Solanum lycopersicum: one gene and its partners. The main gene of each other region encodes a partner of the protein of the gene in region 3 in a complex. Links are inferred from orthologs where the notes say so. Each region holds a gene or a part of one and is shown on either strand. Other genes may lie near its edges.

Region 1 (3,758 bases), on a different chromosome or scaffold from region 3:
TGTCCTGAATAAACTTACCACCATGATGAAAACGAGTTATAATAATGGCGTCCATAAGATTCCCTGAAACAAGGCTCCAAATTTTTCTGACAGTTATGAACAATAAAAACCAAAAAACCCTAACTTTATCTAGATATTAACAACAACAACCACATTGATACTAAAACCCAGTATATATCAATAAAAACCACAGGATAAACACATATATTAAAAACACACAACCACAACAACATGCTCGTCACTTACCTCACACTCGTCAACTCGAAAATCGCGAATGAACTCCAAAATCGTCTGCAATCTTCGATGATTCCTTCAACAAAACACTCGAAATCACTTTAAAATCTAAGAATTTCAGTTGTAAAAGTCATTGAAAAGGAGAGATTCTTAGGGTTTTCTCGTTTAGAAACGGGTTAAAAGTGATTTGGGGGGGAATTGATTTTTAGGTTTGATGACATAATATGTGGCACTGACGTGTAATTGGGTTGGAGTGTATTGGTCAAAATTTCCACGTGGGGAAGGTTCATCTCACGCGCCTAATTACCAAAAATAATTTATTGAAATTTGACTCCACATCAGCCAAAAATATTTAAAAGGATCAAATTATAGGGGGTTAAAGGATTTATAGGAATCTTGGTTAGTTGAGGTACCTGGGGGAAAAGCGCGAACAACTTTAGGGACCTGCGTATGTATTTGGCCTATTTTTTTTCTTCAAAAATCTTGTATGTATTTATTTTAATATATATTTTATTTGTATTTCTATTTATTATAGTTTTTATTTAGAATTTTGTATAATAATATATAAAACACAAAAAAATTAGTATGATGAAAAAGTGAATGAAATAAAAAATTGAAAAGAAATAATTAAATATTTGGTGTACTCATTCTTAAATAAAATACATAACAGTTGACATACCTTTAGAATAAATACAAATTACAAAAAAAAAAGTCAAATTCAGAAACAATGCAATATAATTTTTGAATGAATACAACTATTAATTGTAAAAATTGACTAATATTATTAAAATATGGATATTATCACTAAATAAGTTGATTTTTTTGACTAGTTAGCTAAATTTCCCTTTTTATTTTTGCTAAAAAAAGACTCCAAGGACATGAGTCTCTCACTTGGGCCCAACATTCAAAACCAAATCCGGCCCAAAACCATGACTGACCCGCCCCACACTATTTCTTCAGACCCCCACGCGCCCCTCTTCTCCATTCAGACCTAAATCGCAGCATCCCTAAAAGACGAAGAACCCTAGTTCGGTGCGGCATCTCTTCATACACTACGCCGTGATTGGCACAATTTCTTGTACCGCTCAAAGATTTTAGAAACTCTTCGATGGTATTGTGTTGTAATTTACCAGAAACTGTGCCTCACTGCGAGTCTACGACCAGCGACATTGCCTGACTTTCACGATTTCTATTGACGGCTTTGCAATCTATCAGCATCTCAGTCTTTTCTTCCAAGTTTCAACTGGTAAGTTTTAATTTTCTGAATTTTAGTGCGACGATTTATGAGTTCCATAAAAATATACTGATTTCTGTTCATCTAGCAAAGTGACCTGTATTGTCATGAGACCTGATATGAATATTTTGTTAGATTGTTTCTATGCAGAAGTTGATATGCACCCGCAGTTAATAGATCTTTGGCAAAACTTTCACTTTTCAATGGTGGCAATACACAGTGATATAGGATGACTTTTAGTTTAGGGAGTGTTATCTTAGAATCACATTAGAACTATCAAGTCAAAATTAGCTCCATTAGGCTTTATTTTTTTTGGTTATTTGACAAGTCACAAGAAGGCTAAAAAAGCCTTGAAAGTTCTTGAGCCTTGGTGAAGAATTGTTTAAGCATTTAATAACTCATTTGTTTACTCCTGCTGACATAACAAGTGTCTGAGGAAATTCATTGTCCCCTTCTTGTTGCTTAGAATGAGTAAGCAGGTTACGTGGCCATACACATTTTTTAACTTGAACTGCTAATTGTTCGATAATCTGATAACTGGTGGCCTCTTCCTACTTTGAACAGCTCAGTTTACCCCCAAAAAATAATGCATTGCATGGGAATCAACCTCTTCAGGCTGCATACTCTAGGGATAGACATCAATTGGTCTGATCTCAAAGTGCATTGGAGCAAACACCTCTATACAATTGTATAACCATTTTTGGTTTCTACTTGGATCAGAAAGTTTGATGTATTTTATTTTCTTTAAATGTTGGACACCAAGAAGTCATGCAAACAGCAACCTATTAGTTTGTTTCTCCTTGGTATCCTACAAGTTGTGGCGATTCAAAGTCCCCTACTTTTTCCTTTCATGAGAATGTAGGCTACGATAACCGGACATCTCTATTCAGTTATCTTTACAGAAGCTACTAATCTATGATAAACTAAACTTGTTGCCTCTATTTTGCTCGTTATGTCCTTCATGCGGCTCTGAGAAATTTGATTGCCTTTTATTTTCTTTAAGCGTTGGACACCAAGAAGACATGCAGACAACAACCTATTAGTTTGTTTCTACTTGGTGTCCTACAAGTTGTGGAAATTCAAAGTCCCCTACTTTCTCATTCTCATGAGAATGTAGGCTACGATAACCCTACATCTCTATTCAGCTATCTGTGTGGAAGGTACTTATCTATGATATAGTGAACTTCTTGCCTCTCTTTTGCCTCTTTAAGAGATACAGCCTTCATGTGGTTCAGGGAAGTTTCATTGGCTTTTATTTTCTTTAAACGCCGGACACGAAGAAGACATGGAAACAGCAACATATTAGTTTGTTTCTCCTTGGTATCCTATATGTTGTGGGTATTCTAAGTCCCCTACTTTCTCCTTCTCATGAGAATGTGGGCTACGATAACCCTACATTTTTATACGGTTAACTTTACAGAACCTACTAATCTATGATATTTTAACCTAGCTGCCTTTTCTTTTGCCATCTACCTCAAGAGTTCCTTCATCTGGTTGACGAAATGTCTTTAGTTTGTTTAGGTGTCGGACTCCAAGAAGACTTGCAACGAATAAACTATTAGTTTGTTTCTCCATGGTATTCTACATATTTTGATGATTCATAGTCCCTTAATTGCTAGCTGTCTTTTCTTTTGCCAGTTCCTTCATCTGGTTGACGAAATGTCTTTAGTTTGTTTGAGCGTCGGACACCAAGGAGACTTGCAACAAATAAACTATTAGTTTGTTTCTACATATTTTGATGATTCCTAGTCCCTTACTTTTTATTCGGAAGTTTTAAGCTCTGATCATTTATGCTTTTGGCCTCAACCTGAAAAACCATTACACATTATCTCATCCCTTGCGTTCTATATAGCTAACAATTAGCATTCACTTGTTGGAAAGAGAATGAGGAATTTGCTGATTGGGAGCTGTATTGTTGGAAAGTATGAAGTTTTGATAGACTAAAAGATAGAACCACAGTTGTATTAGATGGGAAGAGCTGTTTCTATAGCAGGAATTTGAGTTATTCTTTTATAGAGTAATTGTGCTGAAAGTCTGTCCATTAGAAAGGCTTGTGCATTTCTTTGTTATGTTGGAAATGATACTGAGTATGTTTTCTATTGTGATTCTTTCTAGTCTTCTGTGAATACTTCTCTCTTTCTACTTTTCTTTGTAGTTGTTTCGTCCTCCCAGAAACTTAGGTTTCTATCTCTTCTAATGCATTTTCCTCTTTGGTTGTCCACGATCCACTTTCTTGTTTTTATTGTTTCACAATTATTTTGACATGAATACTATAGTTCTCCAGATGTGT
Region 2 (3,758 bases), on a different chromosome or scaffold from region 3:
ACACACCCACTGAGAGTCTGAGCAACATAGACAGAAAGCATCTTTCGGATTTTCTGTCAACACAAATATACTCCACAGCCCAAAAAATACATGCTTATTTCTTTCATTAACCTTATCAGAAATTTGGAAAAGAAATTCAGGAAAGTGCAGAATCAGTAAATCATCTTTTCTTGCGTTGTGCGGTGGATGCAGGCATATGGCATGTGTTCCTTTCCCTATTCAGTTTGAACTGGGTGATGCCTCAAACTATCAGAGAAGTTGTTGTGAGTTGGGACCATTTGATAGTTGATGGGGCCATCAGGAACACCTGGAGAATGATTCCAGCATGTATTTTTTGGTGCCTATGGACAGAAAGGAATCAACGGTGTTTTGATGGAATTTCAACTCTTAATCACTCACTCAAAGCTAAATGTTTGTTCATTCTTTTTTGTTGGTCCAACCCGTCTTATGTGAATAGTTACACTACTTTCTTAGATTTTATTAGCTCTTTAACTCTAGGCCAGACATAGTCATGTTTTAAGCCTTCTCTAGATTTTTTGAATTGGTGGATGGCTCCCGTGTCTTAACTGCTATCATGTAACGGAACTAGCATATCTACTTTTGTACTCTTAGCATCTTCTTGATGCCGGTAATGAAACAACTTACTTCATAAAAAAAAAAAAAACTAATTTGATATTGGGTGTGGTTGATTGATTGATTGATTATGCTCAAACAATTTCACCACATGGAAATAGAATTGCTAGCAATAGTGACTGACTGTCGTGCTATCTAGTTATGCATACATGTATATCAAGCTAACCTCAGCAAGTCAGCAAGAAGTGAAACTGTTAGATAAAGAGCAACTTAACAGCCAGACTAAATATGTATATACCCTTAGGTAGCATTCGAGAGGAGAGAAGAATTAAGACACCAACCTTCTCGGTGATTCACTTTCCTATACACTACCTATGTACTTGCTTATATGCAACGACAAATGTCAGTGGTTAGCATGTATAATTAAGAAAGGATAATAGAAGTCCAACTTCACAAATTTACCAAGCGTGAGTGAATAAGTCCATACTTGCAGCATTCTCAGCATTTACATTCTTGGGGTGAACAACAAAAGCCTTGGAGACCTTCTTAATATCTTCAACAATGTTATAAAGCTCAAGATTCACCATAGAAAATTGCCCCAAAATATCTTGCCTAGCAAAAAGAATTATTAAAACTAAATGTTAACATATATGAGAAATGAGTTGGAAAACCATTCCTGATTACATATTCCTCATAAAGATATACCATATTTTTTTTCAGTACTCTTAAGAATAATCATCAAGTATCAACTGTAAAACACTTCATCTCAATTCCCAACGAGATCCAAATAAGTTAAATGGTGTCTATAGAAAGAAAAAAAAGAGTGAGGCAGATCAGATTTTGCGTGAAAAGGGTATTATATATGACGCTGAAGATTTGGATTTCATTTTACAAAAATAATATGAAAAAGAAAAAAATCAGCAGTACAATAAGATACCAAAGGAAATCAATATCAAATGTGTAAGTTGATCTTCTTATATATCATTCCCTTCTACAAAACGAATGTGCAAGTATATCTTAGGTTGGATTTTTTATTATAAGTGGGGTTGAATAATATATAAATGCTAGAGAGTGAAGGTCTACTCTCATTTGTTAAGGGAGATAATGAGAATATTGAGATCAACTGTGATAATCCACATGCATCAATAAGGCGCTTCTCCTTTTCACACAGATCTTTATTACTACTCTAAACCTGGGGACAAGGATATGCAGATCCAAGCCCAAACTGTATAAGAAAGTTGGTGAAGAGACTGTGTAACCTCCTACTAACCGAGATGTGTCCAGGGAATTGTCTGAAGATGATTTGTGGTTGAGAATGTGATGTCCTATGTAGCAATGTTCATCTAACCAAAAGGTAATCTTGCCTGGTGAGTCTAGGCTCATGGAAGGATATTAACTGCACTATTGAGGCATCAAAGTTGAAGTAGTATTTTGTAGCATGCATTCCCAAACTTGTTATACTTAATTCAGTAATTACATCTCCAAATATACACAGAATCACAACATCCTGACCTACCTAATGACAACAAATCTCGCAGCCTAAATTGACAAAGAATAAAAATGGCTACCTTAAAAGTTCAGCAGGGGTATCCCAGCCTGTGAAGACACAGTACCGGAAACTCATTTGGCTGGAGAACCCACAAAATGCATTTTGGTGTTGTCAATAAACTATCCCTAAATGACAAACTAGTAAACTTCCTGCATTTGGTAGCATAGTTGTATTAGCCGAAATTACCCAATAAAACCATAGTGTATCCTAATCAGAGAGGTCAGAGGAGGTGCTTGGTAAAACAAATTGAGGGTTATTAACAAAAAAATAGACTACTCTAAACTCTTAGTACTACGGGATAGAATAATATCATCTAGTCTCACTCACCTTCATTTTGGGGGCTAATACAGCTCGTAGATATTAGTATTAGTCAACTTAACTACTCCAATGTATTTGTATTTGCTGCTACACAGTTAAAATAGAAGAAATGAACTAAAGAGAAAGAGAACCATTTGGGGACAGCATTGGTGCGAGCGATAGCGTCGAAGTCTTCGAGGATGCGAGAAATAGCCTTGAACAAACTAACGGCTCGAGTTTTAACGGATTCGAGATTCAGTTGTTGTTGAACAGCGGGGTTCAGACCCTCCACCACCCTGGGCGGCTGTGGCTGTTGCTGTTGCTGATCTTGAGCTGCCACTACTCCTTCCATGGTCGCCAACCCTCTTCAACCGCAATTTTCATTACGCATTTATATGTTTATATTTTATTATTCAAAATGTACATACCTAAAGTTTTACTAATTCTAATAATTTTTTCCATCTAAACACCATAATATTAGTTTTATTTTTAATTTAAGGTGAAATGGTATGGTGGACCCTTATATTTGTATGTTATTGTATTGTGAACCGTTCTACTTATCCTTTTGTTATTTAGATCCTGAATTCAATAAAACATAATTTAATGAACCCTCTAACCATTGACCAAACTTATGTGCCATTTGAATGTTTGAATTGGCTAGAGAGAGTGATTACACGCGTGTAAAAGCAACTGAACACCATATTTATAATTAAAAATTATAAAATTTATCAAAATATAGAACAATTAATTTAAAAAAAGAAAAAAAATAAAAAACCCTTTTTATTCACCCACCCACCTACTTTTTCATGCATAACTATCCATGCTCAACCATTTTTTTTCTTTCATTTTCTTTAGACGATCTATGCGGCGGACGGAGGCGACAAGGAGACAAAGTCGTGTGAGGGAAAAGTGTTTATGGTCTCACCGACAAGAGGAATGGTGGATGTGGCAGCTTTCTCCGGTGGATTTTTGCCATTTCATGGCTGGATCGAATGGAGACCTAAAGGTGTCGGTTTGGCCAGATTTCGGCCTTAGGTAGCAGATTTTGTGGTGGCTCACCACTGTCTGTGAGCTCACTGTTGATGGGTGTTTCACCGAAGAATGGTATCGATAGTGGTGTGAGTTCTGATGGCTCGCTGGTGTTTTTATACAGCAAATGAATTTGGGGTTTTGTGGGCCTGAAAAGGTTGGGTTATGCAGCTGTTCGCCAAAAAAAAAAAGAAAAAAAAATGAATGGGTTTTGGGTCAAGTCGAGATCCATTTTTTGATGGTTGTTTTAGTTGGAAATGGTTGAGAAATGGGTCCTTGGTGACTTTGTGGTTGGTTTTTGGTGATTTCG
Region 3 (3,658 bases):
GCACCTGATATCTCAAGATGACGATGTTCTTTCGAACTTGATGTTATAGTGTTGGCACAAGCTTTTTAGAAGTATAGCAACCTGATTGGCTTGCCTCTAAATTTTTCCAACTACATAACATTTCTATTCATTCAACTTCCAGCATCATGGGCAATCTTGATAGATTTTCTACTGAAAAATCAGAAACTGGATTATTTACAAATTGACAGAGGATATGATTATCTTTGTTTCCTAACATTCTACTAGTAAGCAGATGTTTAGTTTGAATAACTTGAACATGTTTTCTCTGGTGAAAGCAGTAGGAGGATGAACAGGAGATCGAAGAGAATCAGCAAGGGGAAGGTTGGAGGAGAAAGTGGCGTATCATCAAGTTTTGCTACTCCTTTTCTTTTACTTTTTTTTATTTTTATAATCAAAATTCTGTTAATAGAAACATTTTCCTCTGGTTTCTGTTAACTTCAAGCAGTAAAAATGTCTGTATTGTTCTTTTGAAGTCTACATATGAGTAGTTAAATAATATGGAACTAAAACCGGTATGACACATTACTTCAGAGTCCAAGATCATTATTTTTACCTACTTTTTTTCACCTAGAATTTTTGGATTTTCATGATCAGCAAACTAATCAATAGAGGTCAATCGATAGAGAGAAAAAAGGGAGTGGGCAAATAAACAAGTATAGCTATACCAGATTGGTTAAGAAAGCATACCAATGGCTGTTGAGGTATTATCCTGTGCAGCCCAGGTGGGATCTAGTAGAGCATAACTAACAGCCGATTCTAATTCACCCACAGACCTTTTAGCATCAGTAAGCCACCAACTTTCTTTTATTATGCGTGCAGCTTCAACATATAGCTGCACATGAAATTCTGGAGGAAGTTGTGCCAAAAGAAGACCACATGCTTGGATTAACAAGCAAGACAGCTGCTGGCAAGTATAACCACTGCGTGAAACAAAATTAGAAGTATTCAATCCTGAAAGTGATGGAGTCGTCCTAGTTGCACCCAAAGAATCAGTGCTTCCTCCTGAAGGAGAAGTAGGCAAAATAGAGCCTTGTCCTGAACTACCAGGAGCTCCATGAAGCCCATTGCTGGATTGAACAAGGGTTGGTTGTATGTGAACAACAATTTGAACTAGAGATGAGACAATCTGTGATGGTGAAACAGGAAGAGAAAGTAATTCTATGACAGCTGTTTCAAGAGTAAGCTGGGTGGATATCCCAGGGTCTTGCATCTGATAATAAGGTTTCTGCCCGTCAAAAGAATTAGTTGTCCCAGATTGTGATGTTGCTGGGATCTTTCCATGGGGAGCACGGGTAGAATTATTTGCAAAATCTCCCATCACTGCACATTTGGAGCTATTATTTAAAGCGGGAATAACATGATTCACCAGTCCTAACAAAAGAGTAGCGAAGTAGTCCAATGGTGGGCACATGGCTGCATTTGATGAGTTGATATGTTGCGGGAATGACTCTGAAAATGGTATCTGCATAGAAGAAAAGAAAAAGAGAATGATTCAATAATTACTAAAAGAGAAGGTAAAACAAACTAGCAAGTTACGGAGCATCAACCACCATCACCTTTTTAATATCTAAGATATTCAGTATACGGAGTATTAGCTTTCCAGGAAGATGACCATAGAAATAAGAAAGTATATCACGAACAAACGTAAAGTTCAGAGGATAGTAATGAAGGAAGGGTGAATAAACTTGAAGAATTCTATCAGCCGCATCCATAGCGTCATTTTCAATGAGTCTATATATGATAAGGGGGATGACTGGAAGCAGGCGTGCAGCAATATCATCAAAAAATGTTGGATACCTGAAACCACAAGCAAATCAAGTATAAGTTGGAGTTTTAATAACAGGTTTTTTTAACAGTTTTAGCACCAATTAGAATTGTTCATTCTATTTTCCTAGAATAGAAATTATAACCACTACTGTTGGCTGCTTTCTTTACTCATCTGATAATTTTAATACGAAAGATAACCTGCTTATCTATGACTACTAAAAAAGGGGAAGTTATTGCTCTGCACAGGCCGAATCACCATAAGCTGAAGTTTCGTAGTTTCTGTTGCAGTATTTAATATTTTTAAAATACAGTGATATTCACATTTGTCTTCTCTAAGAACTGTATTAGCAGTCAAACTTTAGAAATCAAATGCCATTTATAATAAAAAGAACAAGAAATAACATAATCAAATGTATTAGTGCTTAGTTAGGATAAAATATGGGAGAATTTTGAGCAATAAAACAAATGGTTTTAATTTAAAGCATCATAGATATCTTCTAATCGCTTTGACTGATCACTGCATAAGAAATTCACTTTTTCCTAAAAAGATGAATATGTTCTAAATTATCCTTGATAAAACTGTACCCATTTAATATGATTTTTTCATTATGTCAAAATTTACTTATCTAACTAAGGGTATTTCAAAAAAATGAAAATAATGTTTTCTTGATTATGTAACAGAACATTTATATTAGAAGTAAAAATAAAAGTTAAAAATACCATATAATATGGATCATAGACAATAAAAAGAAATAAAGTTAATTAGTTAAAGCCTGAAGGAGAGCTCAAGAAGTTGCTAGGTGTAATAAATAAGGGTTCATTTGGTAGCTGAATTGGAAGTGAGTTATGCAGGTATCAAATATTGCATAACCAATACCATGTTTGGTAGTTGGTTATGAGGTAAGTTATTCATGTATCAAATTAAAACGGTGATTGATTTGCGATTTAGAAACATGCATAAATAATACTCGTATAAGTTACAAGAGAATCTAAGTATTATTTTATGCAAGTATACATAAATTATCTCGTTGTTTGGTCATCAAAAAATACATAAATTACCTTGTAACTAATTCATGCATTGCTAATACCGGTATAATTCTAATTAGCTACCAAACAACCACTAATTGTTTTGATGATTTATTTTTGAATTTTTTGATGATTTTGAATCAGCTCAAATGTTATTAAGCCAATCATGTGATTTTATATCATCTAAAAATGACCAAACTGCATAGATGTAAAAGCCTGCTTTGGCATCAAACTCGTCTTATAAGACAGTGATAATTTTGAAAATCAGATAGTTCCTTGAGAATTTACCTTTAAACCCTTTTATCCTTATGCATTTGGACTATATATTTAAAAGACCCAGTAAGAGAGAACAAGTCAGATAATTATTAATGACAAAAACACTCATGTATCTTCAATCATTTTGAAAACTAGGGTTCCTTAGGACTCATTTTAACCCTGTTAATCCTTCACACTCTTCTACTATTAGCCTGCTAAATATAAAAGACCTTGGAAGTGCATAAAGTTTGTACTCAGAAAACAGTATCATACGTGGATTGTAATTCTATGGATGACTTCAAACTGAGCTATCCTTGAAGTAAACTCTTTTCAATAAAAGATGTGTCTAGTTTTCCGATGTCAGCAACTAAACATATCTGAAAGAGTGATAGTCTTAAAGTATGTGATATTGTCGTGGCTATAGAGGAAAACATTTGCAAAAATCTCAAGGGAGCTGAACAAACTGTACTACAAAAACTAGAAAATTTATCACTTGTTCATCTCATTGAACTAGAAATAGTGGAAGAATGTGTATCCTGAGAAGTAGTTTTCTGAAGAAGTCTTTCCGCATCTTATCAAATTTCTAAAG

What was found.
Region 1: mediator of RNA polymerase II transcription subunit 23 (region 3) and mediator of RNA polymerase II transcription subunit 27 share a complex: the UniProt entries of both Arabidopsis thaliana proteins name them as parts of the mediator complex. The link is inferred for Solanum lycopersicum from reciprocal best matches to the Arabidopsis thaliana genes AT1G23230 and AT3G09180.
Region 2: mediator of RNA polymerase II transcription subunit 23 (region 3) and mediator of RNA polymerase II transcription subunit 8 share a complex: the UniProt entries of both Arabidopsis thaliana proteins name them as parts of the mediator complex. The link is inferred for Solanum lycopersicum from reciprocal best matches to the Arabidopsis thaliana genes AT1G23230 and MED8.

Annotation. Positions count from the first base shown.
Region 1 is NC_090800.1:77,929,029-77,932,786, forward strand, and holds the start of mediator of RNA polymerase II transcription subunit 27, read left to right. Parts: upstream 1-1,169; 5' UTR 1,170-1,480; intron 1,481-3,758. UniProt on the Arabidopsis thaliana protein: Component of the Mediator complex, a coactivator involved in the regulated transcription of nearly all RNA polymerase II-dependent genes.
Region 2 is NC_090802.1:67,512,287-67,516,044, reverse strand, and holds the start of mediator of RNA polymerase II transcription subunit 8, read right to left. Parts: upstream 2,862-3,758; 5' UTR 2,772-2,861; coding exon 2,572-2,771; exon of another isoform or gene 2,450-2,571; intron 2,272-2,449; exon of another isoform or gene 2,198-2,271; coding exon of another isoform or gene 2,142-2,197; intron 1,186-2,141; coding exon 1,061-1,185; coding exon of another isoform or gene 1,036-1,060; intron 1-1,035. UniProt on the Arabidopsis thaliana protein: Component of the Mediator complex, a coactivator involved in the regulated transcription of nearly all RNA polymerase II-dependent genes.
Region 3 is NC_090804.1:17,735,850-17,739,507, forward strand, and holds part of mediator of RNA polymerase II transcription subunit 23, read right to left. Parts: intron 1,819-3,658; coding exon 1,578-1,818; intron 1,484-1,577; coding exon 709-1,483; intron 1-708. UniProt on the Arabidopsis thaliana protein: Component of the Mediator complex, a coactivator involved in the regulated transcription of nearly all RNA polymerase II-dependent genes.